Linked DNA regions of Drosophila melanogaster. The protein of the gene in region 1 interacts with the protein of each later gene in a pairwise test. Each region holds a gene or a part of one and is shown on either strand. Other genes may lie near its edges. The genes, in order: CG3294, Cwc25, RAF2 and CG9213.

Region 1 (4,237 bases):
ACGATGGCATCGCCTGGCACGACGTGGCCTGCTACCACGAGAAGCCCGTCATCTGTGAGGACAACGAGGAGCTGCTGCGCTATGTGGCGGCCACGAATCCCGGCATCCGTCTATAGAGCGGCTCGCTGGGCGTTCGCTGTTTGCCTAATTTTAAAGCTACTTATTATAATATTCCTTAAACGAGTTTTTGTATAATTTTTGTTTGTATGTGTACGACGAAAACGGAAGAAAGCAAGACAAATAGACTTTAGAATTTACAATTTCCGATCCTACAAACACCACAAAACCACCCACCCACCAAATCCACAATACTGCTTTCATCACACCTTAGCACCCAGCACTTAGTCTCACTTCTCCTTCCTCCCTACCTTCGAAACTGCCAATTTTACGCGTAGAATTCTATTCCGTTGTAAACAGTTGAGTCGTTTTCAGATCGCACCTTAAATATTTATAGGCAATCCTAAATTGCAAGTGTTTCGCTCTGACCCACTGTCTGTCATTCAAGCAAGAAATTCGGAATCTCTTTAGTATTTTGTTTGAGACACTCATGTTTTGTCCACAAAGAGATTGAATAAAATTTTGTAAAGATCCCATAAAAAAGAAAACACTTGAATTAATACTTTGGTTTTTATTGGCAATGGTTGTGCTGATGATCGGGTGTTGTGGAGTTGTGATGATGATGATGCCTCTTTGATCTGCGATCGTCATGTGAAGATCCCGAGGAGCTGTGCTCTCTTTTAGAGCGCACGGAACTCCGGTCACTTCTTGACCTGGAATGATGATTCCGCTGTTGGTTGTTTTTGAGATCCCGACCTCGGTTGCCCAAGTCCTTGGAGTTTTCCAGTTCAACCTCGGGGCTTGCCGACCAGCGCCAGTTCCTGCCGTGCTCGCTGTGCTCATCCCAACTGAAGAGATAGGGAAAGTATTTAAATAGTTTGCCGGAATATAAACTAATATTATATTTAAATCCACCTGGGTGTCTTGGCCGTTGGAGTTTGGCTGGAGCGTCGTTCACTGCGTGGACCGCTGGTGTACTCCAGTTCCGTGTTGAACAGGTTGTTCGGATTGCCAAACAGGTGCAGATAGCCGCAGTCGTTACCTTTGGGACATTTACGTGTTAAGGACAAACCTTTAAGAAGTCACAGATTGTGTTAAAGAAAATGGTATTAAAACATATGAATGGGCTTGCTTTGAGTTTTGGTTTTTTAAAGGATACGGCTTCCTCTTGGCATGCAGTTCACGTACCGCAGACTGCGCCGCGCCAGGTCCTCAGATTGGAGAACTCCACGTTTAGTCGCTTGGAGGCGTAGTAGCGACCTTGGAGATTGGTAAATGCGCGAAGTGCAGATCTGAAATCATGACGTACGCTTTATAATAATTAGTTTATGACCTCTTTAGACATTATTAACATAACATAAAAGTATGCAAGCGCAGAGACAATACAATATATATATTTTTTGGCGAGAGAACAGGTATAAATTAAAATTGTGAATTATATGAATTAACTTTTACATGAAAATGCTGGGAAATAGGCTGCATTTGAATATCCGAATTGCTTGCATATAAACAATGTCATATTAATTAAATAATAATAATGATAATTAATACTCTCAGACAAACCGTTCGTTTGTGTACTCCACAAAGACGTGACCCCTGAGGTGTTCCAGCGTATTGCGCACCGTGCGGAAGTTGACAATGGTGCCGAACTTTCTCAGTTCTTCGACGACATCGTTGAAGAACTCATCGTAGTCGTGGCGCAGATCCTGTTCGGTCAATTCCAGGTGTTCCTCCGCCGAGGCGTACTCCTTGTGCGTGCATCGCTTCTGCAGCATGGAATGGTTGAAGAAGTGCCGGATGAGAAGGATCCTTCCCAGCATCGGGCGGCGATGGTTGAAGGTGCAGGCGTGACCGTAGCGGCAACAGTTGGTGCGGCTAAAGAACTCGCAGGCTCGTTCCTCCGGATGCGTCTCCATTACACGCAGAAGGTGGCTGGGTGGCTTCTCGATACGCGGGTTGTTCAGATACTCATCCATGCTCTCCATCATGGCATCGAATTCGGCGGCAGCCTTGGCGGCTTTTCGTGTCTCTTCCTCGCGCTGCTTCCGCTGTCTCTCCTCCCGTTCCGCCCGCTCTTTCGCCTGTTCCCGCTGCAAACGCTCCACTTCCTCCTGCTCCTGACGCTTCTTCGCCTCGTCCATTTGGAATTGTCGCTGCGCTGTGGCTTCGCGTCGCAGCCAGGACTCCTCCGCCAACTGGCGCTCCCGTTCGTCGGCTAGTCGTTGGAATTCCTGCATTTCCTCCTGTTCCTGCGACCATTTCTGGTACTCCGGCTGCATAAGTCTTTGGTTTTCCGCCTCTTCCTCCAGTTTATCACGTTCTTTGGCATGTTTTTGACGACGCCGCTTCCTCTGCTGCTTCTTGATTAACTTTCGCCGTGCCCTTTGTATAAATTATATACATTAAATTAAATTATACATTATATTTAAACAAATTTATAGTTATTTACTTCCTTCCCGGCATTTCGCAAAATCAAAACATTGAATTTCGGTGAGCAGCTGAAACGCATTTGTGAGAACACAGCTGATTAATACCGTGTACAGGGTCTATGAAAAATACCACAAAATACTGCAGCACGAAAAAAATTACATTTTTACATTTACATATTTTTCAAAGTTTTCATAAATCTGGCAAATCAAAAATGTTTTGTAAGTTTTCCCTCAAAATTAAGATTTCATATCATAAATGTTTAAAATTTACGAATTCTTACGATTTTTGTAATTCAAAATTTATTATAAATTATAACAGTCTAATATAACACCAAGTTTCGTTCTTGCTATAAAATGTAAAATAACATTGCTGTATAGCACAATGCCAAAAGCCTCAGTTCAACTTACACTGCTATAAATTATGTTATGTGATTTTTATAGCACTGTGTCGAAGAGCTTTTAAAATTTAATAGAAGCGCTTAGTTTGAATATTTTCTTGTTTATCAGATTTGTATATTTTGAATTGAACCGTTTATTCAAGCTTTTTCTCAATTCCCCCTTCCATCGAACCAGAAACTTTCGAACTCGAAAATTCCCCTCTGCAACAATGTTGCCAGCAACATTGTGTCCGGCGATTGCCGAAGATGCGAAAAAAAATCAAATTCAGTGATAAAGTAAAATTCGTGCGCGTCGGTTCACCTACACTTCGTGTCGCCAGAGAAAGCCTTTCTCCTGGCTTTCTCTCTGAGCTCTCCTTTTGCGCTCGGCTCCGAAATCCGAAGTCCGGAATTTGGACTCCGGCTCAAGCGCCGAATCGCCGAGCTTGGCTCACGGAAAACCAACTGAGTTGTGCGAAACTAAGTCAAAACAATTGATGTGAATTCTCGCGGCACAACTTGATATTAGATAAATGAAATAATTCGCGCCGCTGGCACTTTGAACTCGTAATCAGGTCGCAAGCATATTCACGGTTTTTTGTGTAGTAACCACAGGAATTCAAATTCATATTCGTTGAGATTCTCGCAATGCGGCTAATTGGATTTATTCTGAATTTGGCAGCCCTAACAGGTAAGTGGTTCTTACACTGGGAGAAAAAGAAAACAAATGTTATCTAAATACATAAAATAGCCTGATTCTAAAGCTAGCAATTAAGGGATATTTAGAAAACAATATTTTTGGATTTGATGCTATCAATCCATAGATGCTATATTAGTTGTAATAGTAGATTTTTGTAACCATCACTTATTGAAATGCAATTAAATAACTTAAATATAAACTTAAAGAAAGAAGAACATATATCGCAAATTAAAACAATATGTTCTTTACTTACAATTTTTTTCTGTACGCCTAAAAGGGGCATTTAATTTTCAATAATAAACGATTTGACCGCATTTGTTGCTCTAGTGTTACATTGGCTGAGGTGGTCATCGAGTTCTGGAGGGGATGTGGATGGGGATGAGGATGTGGCGACCTCTTCCGAGTTACGTTCTGCGTTTTATTTTCGGACCCATGAACGGTGTTTATTATGTTCTTGTCTGGTCGATGGACAGTTACGAGCTTTAGTAGTATTCATAATGTGGTTGTTGTGGTTTTCCGTCTTCCTCGTCGTCGTCGTGTCGTTACGTATTTATCAATATTTGCCCTCTGTATTTAGTTTTGTGGCTCAAGTGTCTCGTGGCTAATAGAAAATCGATGCTGGCACATTGTTGCACATTTCGCTGAAGTATCTCGAAGATACTGGGAAAGTATCT
Region 2 (4,138 bases), 2.0 Mb from region 1:
AGGTCCTCAACAACATGAAGATCGGCGGTTCCCTGTTCGACGAGGAGGGCTCCAAGATCGTCGAGAAACTGGTGGAGAAGGCCAAGAAGAATAACGTGCAGTTGCATCTGCCAGTGGACTTTGTCTGCGGCGACAAGTTCGCCGAGAACGCTGCCGTCAGCGAGGCCACCGTGGAGGCCGGAATTCCCGATGGACACATGGGTCTGGATGTGGGTCCCAAGACCCGTGAGCTCTTCGCGGCACCCATCGCACGCGCCAAGCTCATCGTGTGGAACGGGTAGGTGTCACACTGAAGCTACTTCTCCAAATGTCCTATAATGGTTTTCCCATTTTAGACCCCCCGGTGTCTTTGAGTTCCCCAACTTCGCCAACGGCACCAAGTCCATCATGGACGGCGTGGTGGCCGCCACCAAGAACGGCACCGTCTCCATCATCGGCGGCGGCGACACTGCCTCTTGCTGCGCCAAGTGGAACACGGAGGCACTCGTCTCGCACGTCTCCACCGGAGGCGGCGCTTCGCTGGAGCTCCTGGAGGGCAAGACACTGCCAGGCGTGGCTGCATTGACCAGCGCCTAAGCGTACATATATACGGTATATTAATGTTAATCGCATCGTTTACCTTGTAAGCACAAACCACGACGTTAAAAAGTGTTGAATCTATTTGTTGCGGAACCATATAATGCATACGAAATAAAGGAATCCTAGTTTATTTGCGGGCAAAGTTGCTGTCCATTGAGGAGGCGGTGCGCTGTATGTTGTTGAGATTGGCCCGGATGCGATCGCCAATTGAGTTATGGTTGGCAATGGCCTTCTTCACCTCCTTGTTAATGAACTCCTTGTCGAAGTCTCGTTCACGATTTTGGGCCTCCTCGCGCGCGTATGCTTCTCGGTGCTTGCGAACCACCTGGCTGCGATCCGCTTCTCTCCAAGTGGCGTTGTCCATCATTTCGCGCAGGCGAGCTTCTCGGTCGGCTTCGCTTAACTTTGGCTTGCCGGTGGGACGGCTGGGAGGCGGTCTTTCGGCAATCCTTCGCTTGTCATCTCCTTTGGAACTTCGGCTCCTGCTGCGTTTTGATCTGGAACGCTCTTCAGGTGTCCTACTCCTGCGTTTCTCGCGCTGCTTTGAAGTGTCCTTGCTTTGACGTCTGGCTTTTCTGTCCTCTGGGCTCCTGGTTCTTCTCTGTCTTCTCGCTAAGGGACTTCTGCTCCTGCTCCTGCGCCTTTCCCTTCTCTCTTCTGGACTCCTTTGCCTTTGCCTTTGTTCCGGACTTCTACTCTGTCGCTTTTTTCTATCCCGGGGGCTTCTACTCCTGCGTCTTTCTCGCTGATTTCTGTCCTCTGAGCTGTGGCTCCTTTTGTGCTTTCTCCTTGGCTCTTCCTCTTCGTCACTACTTTCGTCACTGCTATCGCTGCTTTTCTTCTTCTTGGATTTCTTGCTCTTTTTCTTCTTGGTGGCCATGTCTAATTGATTTGAAATGGTGCGGTACTTGGCGTCCAGCAGCTTGTCCAGTTTAAGGTCACCTTGGTCTCCCTTGAGTTTGCTCACTTGGCGGGCTAATTTTCTGTCCAAGTCATCGTCGCTATCATTGCTCTCGCTGTCACTACTTTCCTCATTGCTGGATCGTCGGTTCTTCTTCTTCTTTTTGGATTTCTTAGACTTTTTGTTCTTCTTGTTCTTCTTCTTTCCCTCTGCGGCCTTTTGTTCCTGTTCAGTCTTGAGAATGCGATGGATTTCCTTCAGCTTGACGGGGTTCTCAAGCAGCTTTCGACGGGATTCCATTTCGCGCTGCTTGATGAGCATCAGGGGATCCTCGAGGGTCTTGCGCTGTATGTCCACCTGTTCGTTGGACTGCACATTGCGGTAGGTCCGGATGGAGAAGGGCACACAGTCGTGCTCCACATGGTTGATCGTTTGCTTGAGACCCACTGTGTTCTGCTCCTGGCGGCTTTCCTCCGCTTGCAGCGTCTCAAAGGACTTGTCGATCTTACGGCCCAGGAGGTACTCCTCGCGGTTGATCAGCTCTGTGCTGTCTGGAGCAAGATAAATATGTATGGATAATGAGTTTTATAAGAGTTTCACATGTATGACTCACTTTTGTACATCCACTCCAGCTTGGCCTCGCCGGCGGCTCCGCCATTATTGCTCAGCACTCCGGAACTTTCGCCCAATCGCCTTAGTTCCTCTCTGTCCCGCTCCTCGTTGATCTCCTTGCGCAGATCCTGCAGCTTGCGCTCCTCCATCTTCGCTTGCTCCTCCGCCTTCCAAACGCGCTCCTGGTTTTTCATCGTGTGCGGATGCCATGATTTCTTCAGATTCTGCGGGAAAAATCAATGGTAATTGACGGATAATCAGTTGGGAGACATTACTTACTAGATCTCCGCCACCCATCTTGGGTTTGATTTGCGTTTTAACAGCAAAACAAACAAATTACAAACAATTCCAGATTTTCCCTCCTTTTCTGTTGTTTTCAACAAAATCATATGTTCGCCCGGGCTGCCAGATCGTGGTGAAGTAATTTAACTTGGTGTTGCCATAGGGTTACATTTTTCTTTTACTTTTTCGAAAATTATTGAAAATAGTTAATTTAGTTACTTATTTTCATAATTACTTCCTCATCGTGCATTGTATTTTCAGTCAAAAACAGGTAATAAATTTATTTAATATGCTTCCAATTCGGCAGAGTTTATACCAAAGAGCTCAAACTCGATTTACAAAATTAAGATTTCCAAGATTTTTTAGCAAAGACGATTGCAATGGAAAGCAAGTAAAGAAGTTGAGCTTAAAAAATGTAGATGTGGCTGGGAAAAGGGTTTTTATGAGGTGAGTATCCTTGCCAGATATGTTTTAGTGTGTGATTTATAAATTTATTTTTAGAGTGGACTTTAATGTACCCATGAAAGATGGCAAAATAACCAACAACCAACGAATTGTTTCCGCACTTCCCAGTATTAAATATGCCTTGGACAAGAAATGTAAGTCCTTGGTGAGTTGATATATCTTCCTTCAATTCCTAAAAAGTATAGAACGAATAACTTAATTTTTTGCCTAGGTTTTGGCATCCCACTTGGGGCGTCCGGATGGCAAAAAGAACAAAAAGTTTAGCCTGGAACCCGTGGCCAAGGAGCTGGAGAGTGTGCTGGGCCAGCCGGTTCAATTCCTGGACGACTGCGTGGGTGATAGCACCCTGAGAGCTTTGAAGGATCCCTCCGACGGCACTGTGTTCCTGTTGGAGAATCTTCGTTTCTATGCCGAGGAGACGGGCAGCAGCAAGGACGATAACAAGAAGAAGGTCAAAGCAGATCCCGCGAAGGTGAAGGAATTCCGAGCCAAGTTGGCGCAGCTGGGCGAGATCTATGTGAACGATGCCTTTGGAACAGCACATCGTCCGCATAGTTCCATGATGGGCGATGGCTACAAGGTGCGAGCGGCTGGTTTCCTGCTGGACAAGGAACTGGAGTACTTTGCCAAGGTTCTCCACGATCCGGCCAAGCCCTTTTTGGCCATTCTGGGTGGCGCCAAGATAGCCGATAAAATTCCACTGATAACGAACCTCCTGAACAATGTAACGGCCATGATCATATCCGGTGGCATGGCCTTCACCTTTCTCAAAGTGCTCAATGGCATGGAGATTGGAAAGTCCCTCTTCGACGAGAAGGGATCCGAGTTGGTCAACGACATAGTCTGCAAGGCGAAGGAGAAGGACGTGAATATACTATTTCCGATTGACTTTGTCATAGCCAATAAGATCGACAAGGAGCCGGATAAAGTGGAACATGTGGATGCCACACAGGGCATACCGGAGGACATGATGGGTCTGGACCACGGCCAGGCATCCAGTCAGATGTTTGCTGGCGCTATTTGTGCATCCAAAACCATCGTCTGGAACGGACCGCCAGGCTTGTTCGAAAACGAGCTATTCTCCAAAGGCACCGAGTCCATGCTGGAGGCAGTAATCGGGGCCACTAACCGAGGAGCCACCACAATCGTTGGTGGTGGGGATACGGCCACCGCTTGCTTGAAGTTCGGAGGCGCCGACAAGGTCTCGCATGTGTCCACCGGTGGAGGAGCTTCCCTGGAGTTGCTGGAGGGTAAGGTTCTGCCTGGAGTGGCTGCTCTTTCGGATGCCTAAACGCACTG
Region 3 (6,938 bases), on another chromosome or scaffold:
TTTTAGGGTGCACCATAATGTTTACTACTGCCATCCCCACACACAAACACACACCCTTCCACACTTATTGAATCCAATCCCCTTTCGATTCCAGCACAGCACCAAGCAGAGCATTCGATTATGGTGGCAATATGCCTACAAGTGCGTCACGCCCTCCGCCTCGGCCGGTGCCGTCTGGAATCCGAATCTGAAATTCCGGCTCTACTGCAGCCGGCAGCTGCGCATCCGGAAACTGAGACGTGGTCCGTGGTCCAGGAGGCAGCCACTCCGGCTGCATATAAATGACATCAAACTGATGTGCCAGGTGCGCAGGCGCAGTAAATAAATGAGGCGATGGCAAAGCCCTAAATGATCTGAAAAAATTCCATTATACGAATTATATGTTATCAAAGTTTAGTCGAATTTCACAGAAAATTCTGTTTGAAATTTGAACAATAAACTTGGCGCCATTTATCGATAGACCAAGCCAACCAGTTCTGCAAACGGTAAAATTTTATATTTTATAAGTACCAATTTTAAAACACTTTCTATTATTGTATTAAAACGTCTCATCATTTTCTTTATTTTGTTGAACTAATACTTTTTGGTTCAATAGTCTTCCCAAAAATTAAATAATAAGTGCTTGTAAATAAATATGAACTTGTTTATTTTGCCTTTAGCATGGAATTACATCCAAAGAAACAGAAAATAAATATATTAATTCTTAAATAGATATCTTTTATGTAGCAAACAAGAAGTCAAGGATATTTAATTTTCAAACAAAAAAAGTGGGAAAACGAGGAACATTTTATCAATACGATTTTGAAACAAAATGAATTTCGCGCGTTGTTCATAAGCAAATTGGAATCAATTATTAAGGAATTATAATTATTATATTTAATCCCTACCAACTTATAATAGCTAGGCATATTACACTTTAAATTGTGCTTCATTGATTGAGTACAATTGCAAGCACTTAATTCAATAAAACGCAATTGAAAATGGTCCGCCAGTGTCCTGTGTCCTTCAGTGAGTTACACGGTTGAGTAAATATATAGTAGTGCATATGCGATACGTCTATATAGTTATGTTTTAGTAATGCTGATGTCCTAAGTGAAGTCTATTTAAATGCCACAAGTTCGGTGATGTGTGTCCCAATCGCTCAGCTATAACGAATGTATTATAAAAGATAGGTAAACATGAGTACTTTTCCTTCAATGCGTCACTGGATAAAACAATTTAAAAAAATGCATAAAATACATAATAAATCCTACAATGCTTACCTGGCATTCACGACTGCAGTACCATTGATTCTGACAGTTGGAGCACATAAAGGTGGCTCCATAGAGCTTGCACTCGTGGCATTGTCTACCTGTGTTACCGTTGATGGTGGCGGAAGATTCAGCCTGGGACTTATGGGAGCTCCTATGCTTGTGAGACTTGTGCTTATGCGACTTGCGCTTGTGAGACTTGTGCCTCTTTTGGACATTCTCATGGTCGTTGATATTAGCGGAATGTTGTTCTTGGTAGGACTGAATAGAAACATTTATTTTCGCGGAATGTCAAAAAATATTGTGATTAAGTGCATACCTGTCTATTGGCCAGTTGGCGACGGGAGGCCATCGGACTGCTGTTGAACAGCGGTTCGATCTGTGATTCATTATCCGAATTATTGTCCTCCATTGAGACGTTACTAAAATGCGAATAATTTTTCCAAGCCCTAATCTTGCGAAGCGTCTCTGAAAGATTGGCTGACAAATGTGTCGAGGAGCTTGCCATGTCCTGGTTACTATAAATTATATGACGTTAAAATAATATGTTCTAGTATATTATTTGTATTTTCTCACCTGTCTTGCGAGTGGATTAGCTTCGGTCGCTTGGCTGGCGGATCTCTGTCTGGATTGCTATCTAGCAGATGGTCATTTACCGCATTCCGAGATTCGTAATGCTGATCCCGCATTGATAGATGACTTACGGGCAAGGAATCTCTACGAAAAAGCATTTGGTCATCCTCGAAATTGGCCGGAGACACGGACGGTGCGCGTTTATTTAAGCCCAAGGAACTGAAAACGATCAATTTTAACTTGGGATTCTCAGAATTAAACATTTAAAGATTTACCCCCGCAGAAGCTGTATGATGTTCTGGTTTAACTCGGCGTAATTCAGTAATTTTTCAATTGCCGACAAACTATGTTTGGAGGCCATTGGAGAATCGATTTCCTCTTCTAGCATAGCCTTTACCTCACTGAGCTCCTTGGTGCCGCACTTGTTGATAAGGATGGGCAGTAGGTCCTTAATACGTATCAAGCGCTCCTTTCGCTCCATTCGTTCATGCAGCTCCTTCTTAATGCAGCTCAAATACAGCAGTCGGTTATATTCATCCTCTTTCTGGGCCATCAGCTTATCTAGGGCTGCAAGATCCGCAACGATGCGTTCGCGCTCTTTTTTCAATGAATCTTCATCAGGGGGTACCGAGTTAATTTTATCAATCATTGTCGAGTTCAATTCATCGAAAAGTTCTTTGACGCGATAATGGAAGTTTGCATCACTATTATTGAGATCAACGAATGACTTTTGGCGGGTTGTCGAAGAAGAAGCCGCTGGTGACCCCAAGCCCTGCGTCTGGGTGCTCACCGTTTCCGATCGACGGGGTTGCGGCTGTTGGGGCACCGCAAAGTTGGGAGCAGCCACTGGAACAGGATGCAGTTGAGATGGCGATTGATGGACCTGCTGTGATTGGGCAAGCTGATGTGGACTAGCATGCCTTTGAGGGGTCAACGGCTGCACCGAAGCTGGTCTTGATGAATCTGGCTGCTGTGGTGGAGGAGCTAGCTGCTGTGGTGGAGGAGCTAGTTGCTGTGGTGGAGGAGCTAGCTGCTGTGGTCGAGGCGCTAGCTGCTGTGGTGGAGGAGCTAGCTGCTGTGTTGGAGCTAGCTGCTGTGGCGGAGCCATATGTTGTGGTGGAGCCATATGCTGTGTGGGAGCTCGCTGTTGTGGCGGAGCCAGCTGCTGTGGCGGAGCTCGCTGCTGTGGCGGAGCTCGCTGCTGTGGTGGAGCTAGCTGCTGTGGTGGAGCTAGCTGCTGTGGTGGAGCTAGCTGCTGTGGTGGAGCTAGCTGCTGTGGCGGAGCTAGCTGCTGTGGCGGAGCTCGCTGCTGTGGTGGAGCTAGCTGGTGTGGTGGAGCTAGCTGGTGTGGTGGAGCTAGCTGCTGTGGCGGAGCTCGCTGCTGTGGTGGAGCTAGCTGGTGTGGTGGAGCTAGCTGGTGTGGTGGAGCCAGCTGCTGTGATGGAGCTAGCTGCTGTGGAGATGGTCTATGTTGAGCCAGGTGCCGTGGTGGAGCGAATGGAGCTGTAGCCAGTTGCTGTGGAGGAGCTCGCTGCTGTGGTGGAGGAAGCTGCTGCGGTGGAACTGATCTTGGGAAGTGCATCTGTTGCACGGGGGCTTGTTGTAGTGGAGCAACCTGAGATGGAGCTCTCTGCGCGAGGGCAGCCACTTGTGGTGCAGCAGCATAGGATGCAGCGACTTGGGATAAAGCTGTCTGTTGAATCGAGAAAGTCGCATTAGCTTTCATGTTATTTGACAGCTTTTCGTTGGGATAGGATATCTGCATTTGGGTGGCCGTTGGCGGTGGAGTATTTAAACTGTAAGTGTCAGCTTGCTTGGCGGCAGTAGGCGGAGCCAGGGTATACGGTGTGCTCAGCTTAAAAGCCTGCTGACGCTGAAGAGGATTAGTCGATGGAGTGGTGGGCATTCTTAGATTTAATGGTGGAGCTGCCTCCATTGGCTTCTGTTGCTGCACCGTTGAAAACCCAATTATATTATCATCCTCGACTTCATTGTTGCGCTTCTCTTCGCTAGCGGGCGGTGTTACCGAACGGCGTCTTTTAAGAGTGGCATCAACCACAAGCGACTCTGCCTCATTTGGCGCATCTCGCGACCGGTCCTTTAGAGCCTGTTCCAATTCCCGACACGCTGAGAGTTTACCGTAGTCGAAGACCGGTTCCTGGGGATCCTTCTTTACCAGGAACTCGTCGAGGATAGAGGCACCGTTTTCGTTGTTTCCAAGTGGGTTTGCTTTCTTCCTTTCTGGCAGCTCGTAGTTTAGTTGGGGTGGAGCCGGAAGCGTAGGCTTATTTTCCTTGATGGGCGTAACCCTTGCCGGCTCTTGCTCTGGTTTCTCAGGCGAATCCTCGTTCTCCGTGTCGTCAAGGCAAATGAGTTCCGGCGAACCACTGCCGCTGCGGCTGCGAGAATAGCTACGACTACGACTGCGACTGCAACTTCGGCTAAGACTGCGGCTGTGGCTGCGACTACGACTGATGCTCCTGCTGTCGTAGGTTCTGCGCTGCCTGTCATGGAAGCGAACCAGGTGCTTCAATTTACGCTTGGGCAGCAAGTCCTTCAGGCCGTCAAAATAGCTGTTGTAGTCCATTTTATTGGGTCGCAGCCTGAAGTGTGATCGGATAAGATAGGATTACAGTTTCAGTAGGTTCTTTGGGAAGTAAGCCTTACCAACGAATACTGCGACGCTTGAAGTAAAGATTGGGCAGCCTGCCACGCTGTAACTGCAATTGCCGGATCCGCCGAATTGTTTCTGAGCGCGTGGAAGGTGGCACCGCATCGTCATCTGGCTTTTCATTTTTCTCAGTGGCAGCCGCCGATTCTGGAGCTCCATTTCCGGGTTTCTCGGACTCGGATCCCTTGGATTTTGTCTTTTGGGGTCGTTGCTTGCTCACCGCCGCGTCCATTAGAGCGTCGTATTCCTCCTCCTCGTGGCTATACTCGTCGCTACTTAGCTGCGAATTGGAGGAGTCGTAGATCTCGTTGGACATTAGGCCTGCAACTGGACGACGGTCAGGTATGTACATCTTTTGGCATTAACCCCCTCAAAAACTCACGCGCTCACGTCTGCAAATTTTTGGCCAACAAAAAATCGTCTGCCGGTTGAATATTCTAATCCGCCGACGGGCTCACCTTTTCAGTTGCTGAAAACCACTTAAAACAATGGCCCAAGTCCCCAAATAGGCTAATTCGGGTTTATACCAGTTTTAAAGCGTTTACTTTCAGCAAAAATCCAATTTCCAAATGCGAAAAAAAATTCGCCGTTCAATTCTGCGAATAATTTTGACAGGCATTTAGTATGGACGCAAACCAATAGGGTAACCACTTTTGGGAAAGTCTTTAAATAATACTGAATAAAATATGTTCTTCCAACTAGTTCTTAGTTAGGTAAACCAAGCAAACAAATTTTTAATCTTATTAAATTAAAGTAATCTAGTAATCTTATTAAATATTACTAGTTTCGGGGTATTCGGTCATTTCATATCTAAAAACCAAATAACTATATTAGAATAAGTTACTCACTAGAGTTTCATTTTTTGATTTATGGAAAAGTTAGCGTAGATCAAAAATCAATCATTAATAAGCTATAAGTTGTAGTGCAGATCGTTAGCCAAATTATTCAGATTTCCTTTACAACATTGCAACCTGACAGCCCTGGTGGCAAATATTAAATATTGAAAAATACTAAAGGCAAAAGTGGCGATTTTCCGTTTGTTCACCGGTGTCATCGTCATTGCACTCGAACGGTCATACCGTTTGGCTTACAAAAGAAAACAAATCAATTCGCACAAAAACATTGCCAAAAAGGTAAATGGCGGGCACGACGCCGCCGAGTGATAACCATATAGTAGTGACCAGTGTTTAGCAACCGATTCCCGCCCAGTGACACTCGTAAACAAAGGGCACGACCGACAGTGTCTGTATATATATGTGCATATGCGTAACAGGGAATAACCGATAAGAACGGCGCAGCTGCAGATAGACATACCTTTAAATAGGACTTTGTTTATTGATCGTTTGTGGGTGGCTATTGCCTTGCAGATCGCGAACTGATAACCATAAATGTTAACCACGTCACGCCACCCCACGCCTCTCCCAAACACACACACTCGCACACGTGCGCCAGCTGAGCACATGCATACGTATATGCATGCTCACACGCACACAATCGCATGGTCGTGCACAAGAACTCTTTTGTTGTATGTAAAGTGGACGATCGAAAAAGTAAACTAATTCAATACAATGGGTTCAGCAATCAACGTCGGGGTCACCAATTGAGTGCATCAAAAATACAATCAATTCGGCCCGGCGAATTTTCGGTTGATTCAGCTAATGGCGGTGTGCATAAGAAATGGCATGAAAAGTACTCCTTTTTTCATTGGATTTAAATCCCATTATCATAGGAAGAAATAAGAAATTTAAAAAAAGCAGTGCTTGTCAACTGAATGCATTCATTTCTATTACAAAAACGTAGTGCGTTCCATTGTGCATGTAAATATATGCAGTCCCAGTTTTATATTACGTGTCAAAACAAAAGATTGACCTTTATCATTGGTCGTTTTACAACCATTGTTTATAACTTTGTAGAAATACAAATAAAAACTTCTTTGATAAACTTTATCCGCTGACATGTTTTAAATCATAATTTAAGTAAATCATGATCATTTAAATAATAATCTCAATATATAATACCTATTACTTTAGTTTATTTAAAATCCGAAAATCGTTTCGAAACTTATTTAAATTTGCTTAAATTGAAATATCTAAAATATCCGAAGCCAAGTATTATTTAATAAGAAATATGAATAGCTAAACGCCTTAATGAAATGATTTAATTAGTTTAAAGTTTTAAAGTTGTCGTTTTTACTCATAATTAAAACGGTCGTAAAACTTTAGTACTTTTTTAAAACATCTCCATGTACAAAATGTAAAAAATGACACCTAACTGTCATCAATTTTTTGCTAAACTGTTTGCACACTTTGGTCCCCATAAACCCACTCATTCTAAAGATTATTGACTTTCGCGAGCTTCCACTGTGAAGTGCGAGTATCTGCCCCATAATGACTATCCGTCGGACAGGCGGACTTTGTCCACAGCGGCTGTAGCTATTTCCAACG
Region 4 (5,093 bases), on another chromosome or scaffold:
GTGTCCGAATCCGTAGATGAGCAGCAGTACCACCAGCACGATGTACACAATCCGGCGTCTCAGCAGGCGTGTCAGGGCGGCTGGCCACATCCTGGCCAATACCTAGCGCTCCATCACAGCTCCCGCCGGGTGTAATTCTCCTGGGACACGGACATGGCAGTGGCCACAATCGGGGAATTTTTCAGTTTGAATGCTACTGGGGCATTGGGTGCTGTCACTCCTCGGATGACTTCAGCTACTTCTGCTGATCGTGATTACATCCAGTTGCAGTGTCGGTGCACTTTTCACTCAGAACTGAACTGATGAAATTTTCCTGGATTGTTGATGAACTTTTCTAGGCAACTTCCTCGTTGGAAAAAGATCTCTTCAAATTGAAAGGGGGAGCTCTCTTTTCTCTGCGTTGCAGCATGGTGTGCAATCAGTTACTGGCCCACTATGCCTCTATTTGTATTATTTTGTTTTTTTTTTTTTTCTTGCAATAAATGGAAGCGAAATTCGTTAGCAAGCACAAAAACAAATTCCTAAATATTTATTTATTTCAATCAGCTGTTTACCAGTGTTGCGAAATACTGACGGGGGGAAATACAAATCGATTAGTGCTATCGACGTTTCATAATTTGAAATTTATTTTTATAAAAAAAATGCAAATTGAAACGGTTTTTCTAATGTATATAAAAATATATATTACATTTTTCTGACTTTAAATGATCTTGGGATATCTGATTTTTACAATGCATTTTTCTAGTTCTGTGTGCAATCAAATTTCTTCCAGTTTTCAGCAAAGGATTTCACCTTTCCGATGGGGTTTGCCTCCTTTCGCGGCTTTCGCCAAGCATTGGGATTTAACTCCAGCATTCCGCCGAGGATTTCCTGAAAGTATATAGTGCAATCAGCATACAAATGAGTCAAATAAGAGCAAGCAATGCCAACGAACCTGGGCAAAGTTAGCCGGAAATCGATCCTCGTCCTCGATGACGTGCGCGAAGCCCGAATCCATGCCGAAGTGAACCCATACGTAGGGCAGGCCCTTGGGAATGGCCGCCCGCAGGGACTTCTGGCGCAGCGAGACCAGCTGCTTGTTGATGCACCACTCCTGCTCCGATTCCTCGATGGCTTTCTTGAAGTAGAAGGGCGCCATCTCTCCTTGGCTGGCGGGAATTGGGATGCAGTGGACGCTGAGATGCGGCCGACGGTGCAGCTTGTTGGCAATCTCGTAGAAGACGACATCCTGGCGCCGGGCAGCGAACATGCGGGTGAGTGCCTTACGGAAGTTGCTTATCTCCTCCCAGGCATCTTCGTCTAGTTGCGTGCAGCAGGGTACATGCTGCAGGGTCGTCAGAATGCAGTGACCGCTCTGGAGGCCCATGTACCACGGCAAACTGAGATAGATCTTATCGCCCAGGGAAACGAGCAGCTGTTTGTCCAACTTGGCGGAGTCAAAACACCGCTCGCAGTTGTCCAGCGTGGCCACCAGTTTCTCGTGCTCCCTAATGGCGCTCTGCATCTCCCGCTTTTCAGCATCGCTGGCTGAGATCTGTTTGCGCACCTTATCAGCGAATATGTCATCCAAGTCATCGTTGGGATTCTTGTGCTTGGACACAATGTCGGCATACTGGAGATTGACTTCTGCGGCTGTGGCGTGTTTTTCCCGCTCGAACTGGAGGTTAAAATATGTTACTATTTAGTATTTGCTTTTGAAAGTTGAACTTACCATTTGCTTAATATCGTAGCGGTCATCATCGGCAAAGTATCTTACACGCTGACCATCCACGTGGGTGTCCACTTTCTTGCTGCCGCGTTTTGGTCCCATCCTGCCACCGTACGATTCGTTCGGATCGCCGGACTGCACCAGCGGACGCACGTTGCCGCTCTGGTCCACCTTGGTGAGCAGCACGTGCTCTGCTGAGGCCTTGGACTTGGCTGGCCTGGTATTTGCATTCCGCACTGACTCGCCGGAGGCAATGAACTCTGCTCGCTCCTTCCGTGCGGCCTCCAATTGCTGATTGAGTTCCGCCGCCAGTTCTTTCTTTCCTTTGAGCTCTGCCTTGATGGCCTTGCCGGCCAGCTCATTGATCTGTTCGTCTGTGAGGCAGGATGGTCTGGACTTGGGCTGCTGCACCGCCTCCTCCTCCTCCTCATCAGATGATGTGGCACTTTTGGAGCGGGATCTGCTTCTTCTGGGCGGACTGGGAGCCTTTGCGCCTGGTTTTCGCCAACCGCGTGAGGATCCCTGTGCGGAGCTGCTGGAATGCGGCTTGGCCTGCCGTTCATCGTCGTCCTGTGGCTTCTGGAAACCGGGCAGACCCGTGCCATTGCTCTTCCAGTAGGGATTGAGCTCACGGCCACTCTTGGCCGGATCGTAGGCATCAATTTGTTGGGCCTTCTCGTTGGGCTTCGCTGGCTCCTTGCGTTCCCTGGAGAACGTCTTCAGAAGGAGAGACTCGCTGGTCATCCAGTCGTCCCGCTGAGGGGGCTCCTTCTTAGTGACATTGTCCGCCGCGAGAGGCGGAGGAGCCTCCACCCACTCGTCCTCGCTGGCGCTTTCCTTACGGCTCCTCTTGGACTTCTTCTTGCGTCGCTTGCGCTCCTTTTCATCCTCACTGAACGAGGAGGAAGATGAAGTGGAACTTTCGCTGCTACTGCTGCTGTTGCGGTGCTTCCTGCTCTTCTTCGATGACTTGGACTTGGACCTGGACTTGTGCTTGGAAACATTCTTCTTTGACTTTTTGGCGGGCTTCTCCAGTTTCTTGGCCAACGCGGGCAGCATCCAGTCGGCTTCGCCGCGCAGCTCCTTCTGCCTCTCCCGCTGCCCACGCAGTTCCGCCCGCTCCTTGGCCTGCTGCAGCATCGCCTCCCGGGCCTCCCGGAGCTCCTGGCGCGCCTTATCCTTTTCTCTGCCGCTTTCAAATTGTATGTAGCTCATGTCTAATTTGGTTCTTCTTGTTTACCAAAACATTAGTGTTAGAGATGGACAAATATGCACAACAGTGATATCGCTTAAGTCACTACTGAATAACAGACATATCGCTTAACTCACTATTGAAAAGTTGATTGCAATATACAACAAGAGAGAATGATATAGTCAAATTCCCCGTTACTCGGCTAGTGTGAATGCGAAAGCGAAATTTAATAAATTTAATTTAATTTTAATTTTAGAATCTGTATGGTGAATCTCAACCTTCTAGCTTTTATAATTCCTGAAATTTTGGCGCTCATACGGACATGAAAAGATCGACTCGGCTATTGATCCTAATCAAGAATATATATACTTCATATGGTCGGAAACGTTTCCATCTTCCTGTTACATACACTTCAACAATTCTAGTATAGCCTTTAACTTTACAACGGGTATAAAAAAGTATCAAAAAATTCCAAAGGAGTGTTTTTTATTTATAAAGTTAATTCTCAACAAGACTTGAAGTCATATTAAAATCTAAAGTTTAAAGGCGCTTTTTATATATAATTAATGACCTGCCTGTTCTTAGTCCTCATCCGAGGAAGTTTCATTCTTGATCTTGTCGGACTTGCGCTTTTGCAACTCCTGCTCCACGTCGGGGTCCTTGACCAGGTGCTCTAACTTGATGTCGGACAAGTTGGGACAGTCGCGCACCGGGCATAGGATGCCAATGTTGTCCTTGATGATCATTAAAACCGTTTCGCGGTCGTAGATATGACCGCACCTTTTGTTGCGCACGGGGTGCTTTATCAGGAGCTTGGACCAGGGATCGTGGAACGGGACGACCTCGACGCCGAAGTCTTCCATGATAAGGTCCTCATCAAGGCCGGCGATATTCTTTTGAGCTTCTGATTCCACCGCATTCATGTAGTTCGTGTCCTCAAGTGAGTTATTGACATCGATGCGCATCTGCTCCACAGCTTCGGGGCGCTCCTTGCAGACTTCCTCGGACTTCTCGATGGTGTTGCTAGAGTTTTTGGTTAGCAACTTCTCCCCGTCATCGCTGGAATTGGACACGACTGTGGGTGGGTGTGTTTTAAAGATGTTAAAGATGTCTCGGTTTGTCACATGGCTCACCTTCTGCCATTTCCCTGAAGAGCTTTTGGTGGGATTTCGGGTCCATTTTGATCATAAATTTTATTCAGACGCTTTTCAAATTGCAAATCCAGAATATTTAGATCGAAATGTCAAGACTGACGCTTCGGTTAAGCTAGGACCGATAATTTCGACAGGCAGCCTATCGAGGGTGTAATCGTTCTTTTGAGAACCGTTAATAATCGTGATGTGCGTCAAGTTAGCGTAGGTGAGTTAGCGTCGGTCAGTTAGTGCAGATGGCGGATCGGTAGAATTTTGAACATGGGGAAGTTTTTTATTTATTTTATTTTGTTGGGTTGTGGGCATTAGAGTGGGCGTGGCAATATGGGCATGCGCTGCGTCTATGTCTCTAGAATCTGTATGGTTAATCTCAACCTTCTAGCTTTTATAGTTCCTCAGATTTCGGCGTTCATACGGACATGATCAGATCGACTCGGCTATTGTTCCTGATCAAGAATATATATACTTTATATGGTCGGAAACGCTTTCTTCTGCCAGTTACATACTTTTTAACAAATCTACTATACCCTTTCACGAGTAACGGGTATAAAACTGAATATATTTGATAATATTATACTGAAGCTACCAATTTCCGATGCTGTAAATTGCATAATTTATTATGAAATAAAAACACTAATACTTATTATGTCAGCGGAACATAATAAGAATATTTGAGTCTAGAGGTTTTATCTCCAAGGGCATGACAACGCCATGGCAACCCTTTTTGCTTGTGTCAAGAACTCAAAAAAGAAGGCGATGACTTTGCAGTCTACAAGTCACATTTATAATTTGGCGTGAGGACCTCAGTTGATTCACATATCCGAGCGGATAATACTTAACTATTTGCAAAGCACAGCATTTTTAAGATGACCATTTCAAGAAAATGCTTTACGCATACAAGTTGATAGGTTTTCTAAACGAAACAATGAAGTCCTACGATTCTTCATAGAGCTCACCGATTTCATTATTCCGTTCACCGCTCCCGATAGATTCTTCGTTATTTGTAGAGATTTCCAGCGCAAGTCGCCAACAGCTGGCCCAT

What was found.
Region 2: the proteins of CG3294 (region 1) and Cwc25 interact in a two-hybrid assay, tested with the Drosophila melanogaster proteins (one large-scale study listed by BioGRID).
Region 3: the proteins of CG3294 (region 1) and RAF2 interact in a two-hybrid assay, tested with the Drosophila melanogaster proteins (one large-scale study listed by BioGRID).
Region 4: the proteins of CG3294 (region 1) and CG9213 interact in a two-hybrid assay, tested with the Drosophila melanogaster proteins (one large-scale study listed by BioGRID).

What each region holds. Positions count from the first base shown.
Region 1 is NT_033779.5:4,792,955-4,797,191, reverse strand, and holds CG3294 (uncharacterized protein), read right to left. Parts: upstream 2,535-4,237; 5' UTR 2,521-2,534; coding exon 2,507-2,520; intron 2,440-2,506; coding exon 1,621-2,439; intron 1,350-1,620; coding exon 1,246-1,349; coding exon of another isoform or gene 1,238-1,245; exon of another isoform or gene 1,217-1,237; intron 1,130-1,216; coding exon 973-1,129; intron 906-972; coding exon 629-905; 3' UTR 611-628; downstream 1-610. Other genes in the region: slf (schlaff), read left to right, coding at 1-116; fipi (factor of interpulse interval), read left to right, coding at 3,512-3,554.
Region 2 is NT_033779.5:2,743,450-2,747,587, reverse strand, and holds Cwc25 (Cwc25), read right to left. Parts: upstream 2,491-4,138; 5' UTR 2,390-2,490; coding exon 2,372-2,389; intron 2,317-2,371; coding exon 2,094-2,316; intron 2,032-2,093; coding exon 707-2,031; 3' UTR 644-706; downstream 1-643. Other genes in the region: Pgk (phosphoglycerate kinase), read left to right, coding at 1-277, 336-576; CG9961 (uncharacterized protein), read left to right, coding at 2,664-2,821, 2,876-2,984, 3,051-4,130.
Region 3 is NT_037436.4:16,384,509-16,391,446, reverse strand, and holds RAF2 (RING-associated factor 2), read right to left. Parts: upstream 5,121-6,938; 5' UTR 4,877-5,120; intron 4,822-4,876; 5' UTR 4,811-4,821; coding exon 4,491-4,810; intron 4,427-4,490; coding exon 2,099-4,426; intron 2,043-2,098; coding exon 1,827-2,042; intron 1,769-1,826; coding exon 1,570-1,768; intron 1,512-1,569; coding exon 1,263-1,511; intron 1,146-1,262; coding exon 1,104-1,145; 3' UTR 631-1,103; downstream 1-630. Other genes in the region: CG44836 (uncharacterized protein), read left to right, coding at 95-325; Agpat3 (1-Acylglycerol-3-phosphate O-acyltransferase 3), read left to right, coding at 5,993-6,019.
Region 4 is NC_004354.4:15,571,576-15,576,668, forward strand, and holds CG9213 (uncharacterized protein), read right to left. Parts: upstream 2,961-5,093; 5' UTR 2,924-2,960; coding exon 1,712-2,923; intron 1,658-1,711; coding exon 935-1,657; intron 871-934; coding exon 742-870; 3' UTR 501-741; downstream 1-500. Other genes in the region: CG15643 (uncharacterized protein), read right to left, coding at 1-90; CG42299 (uncharacterized protein), read right to left, coding at 3,482-3,975, 4,034-4,088.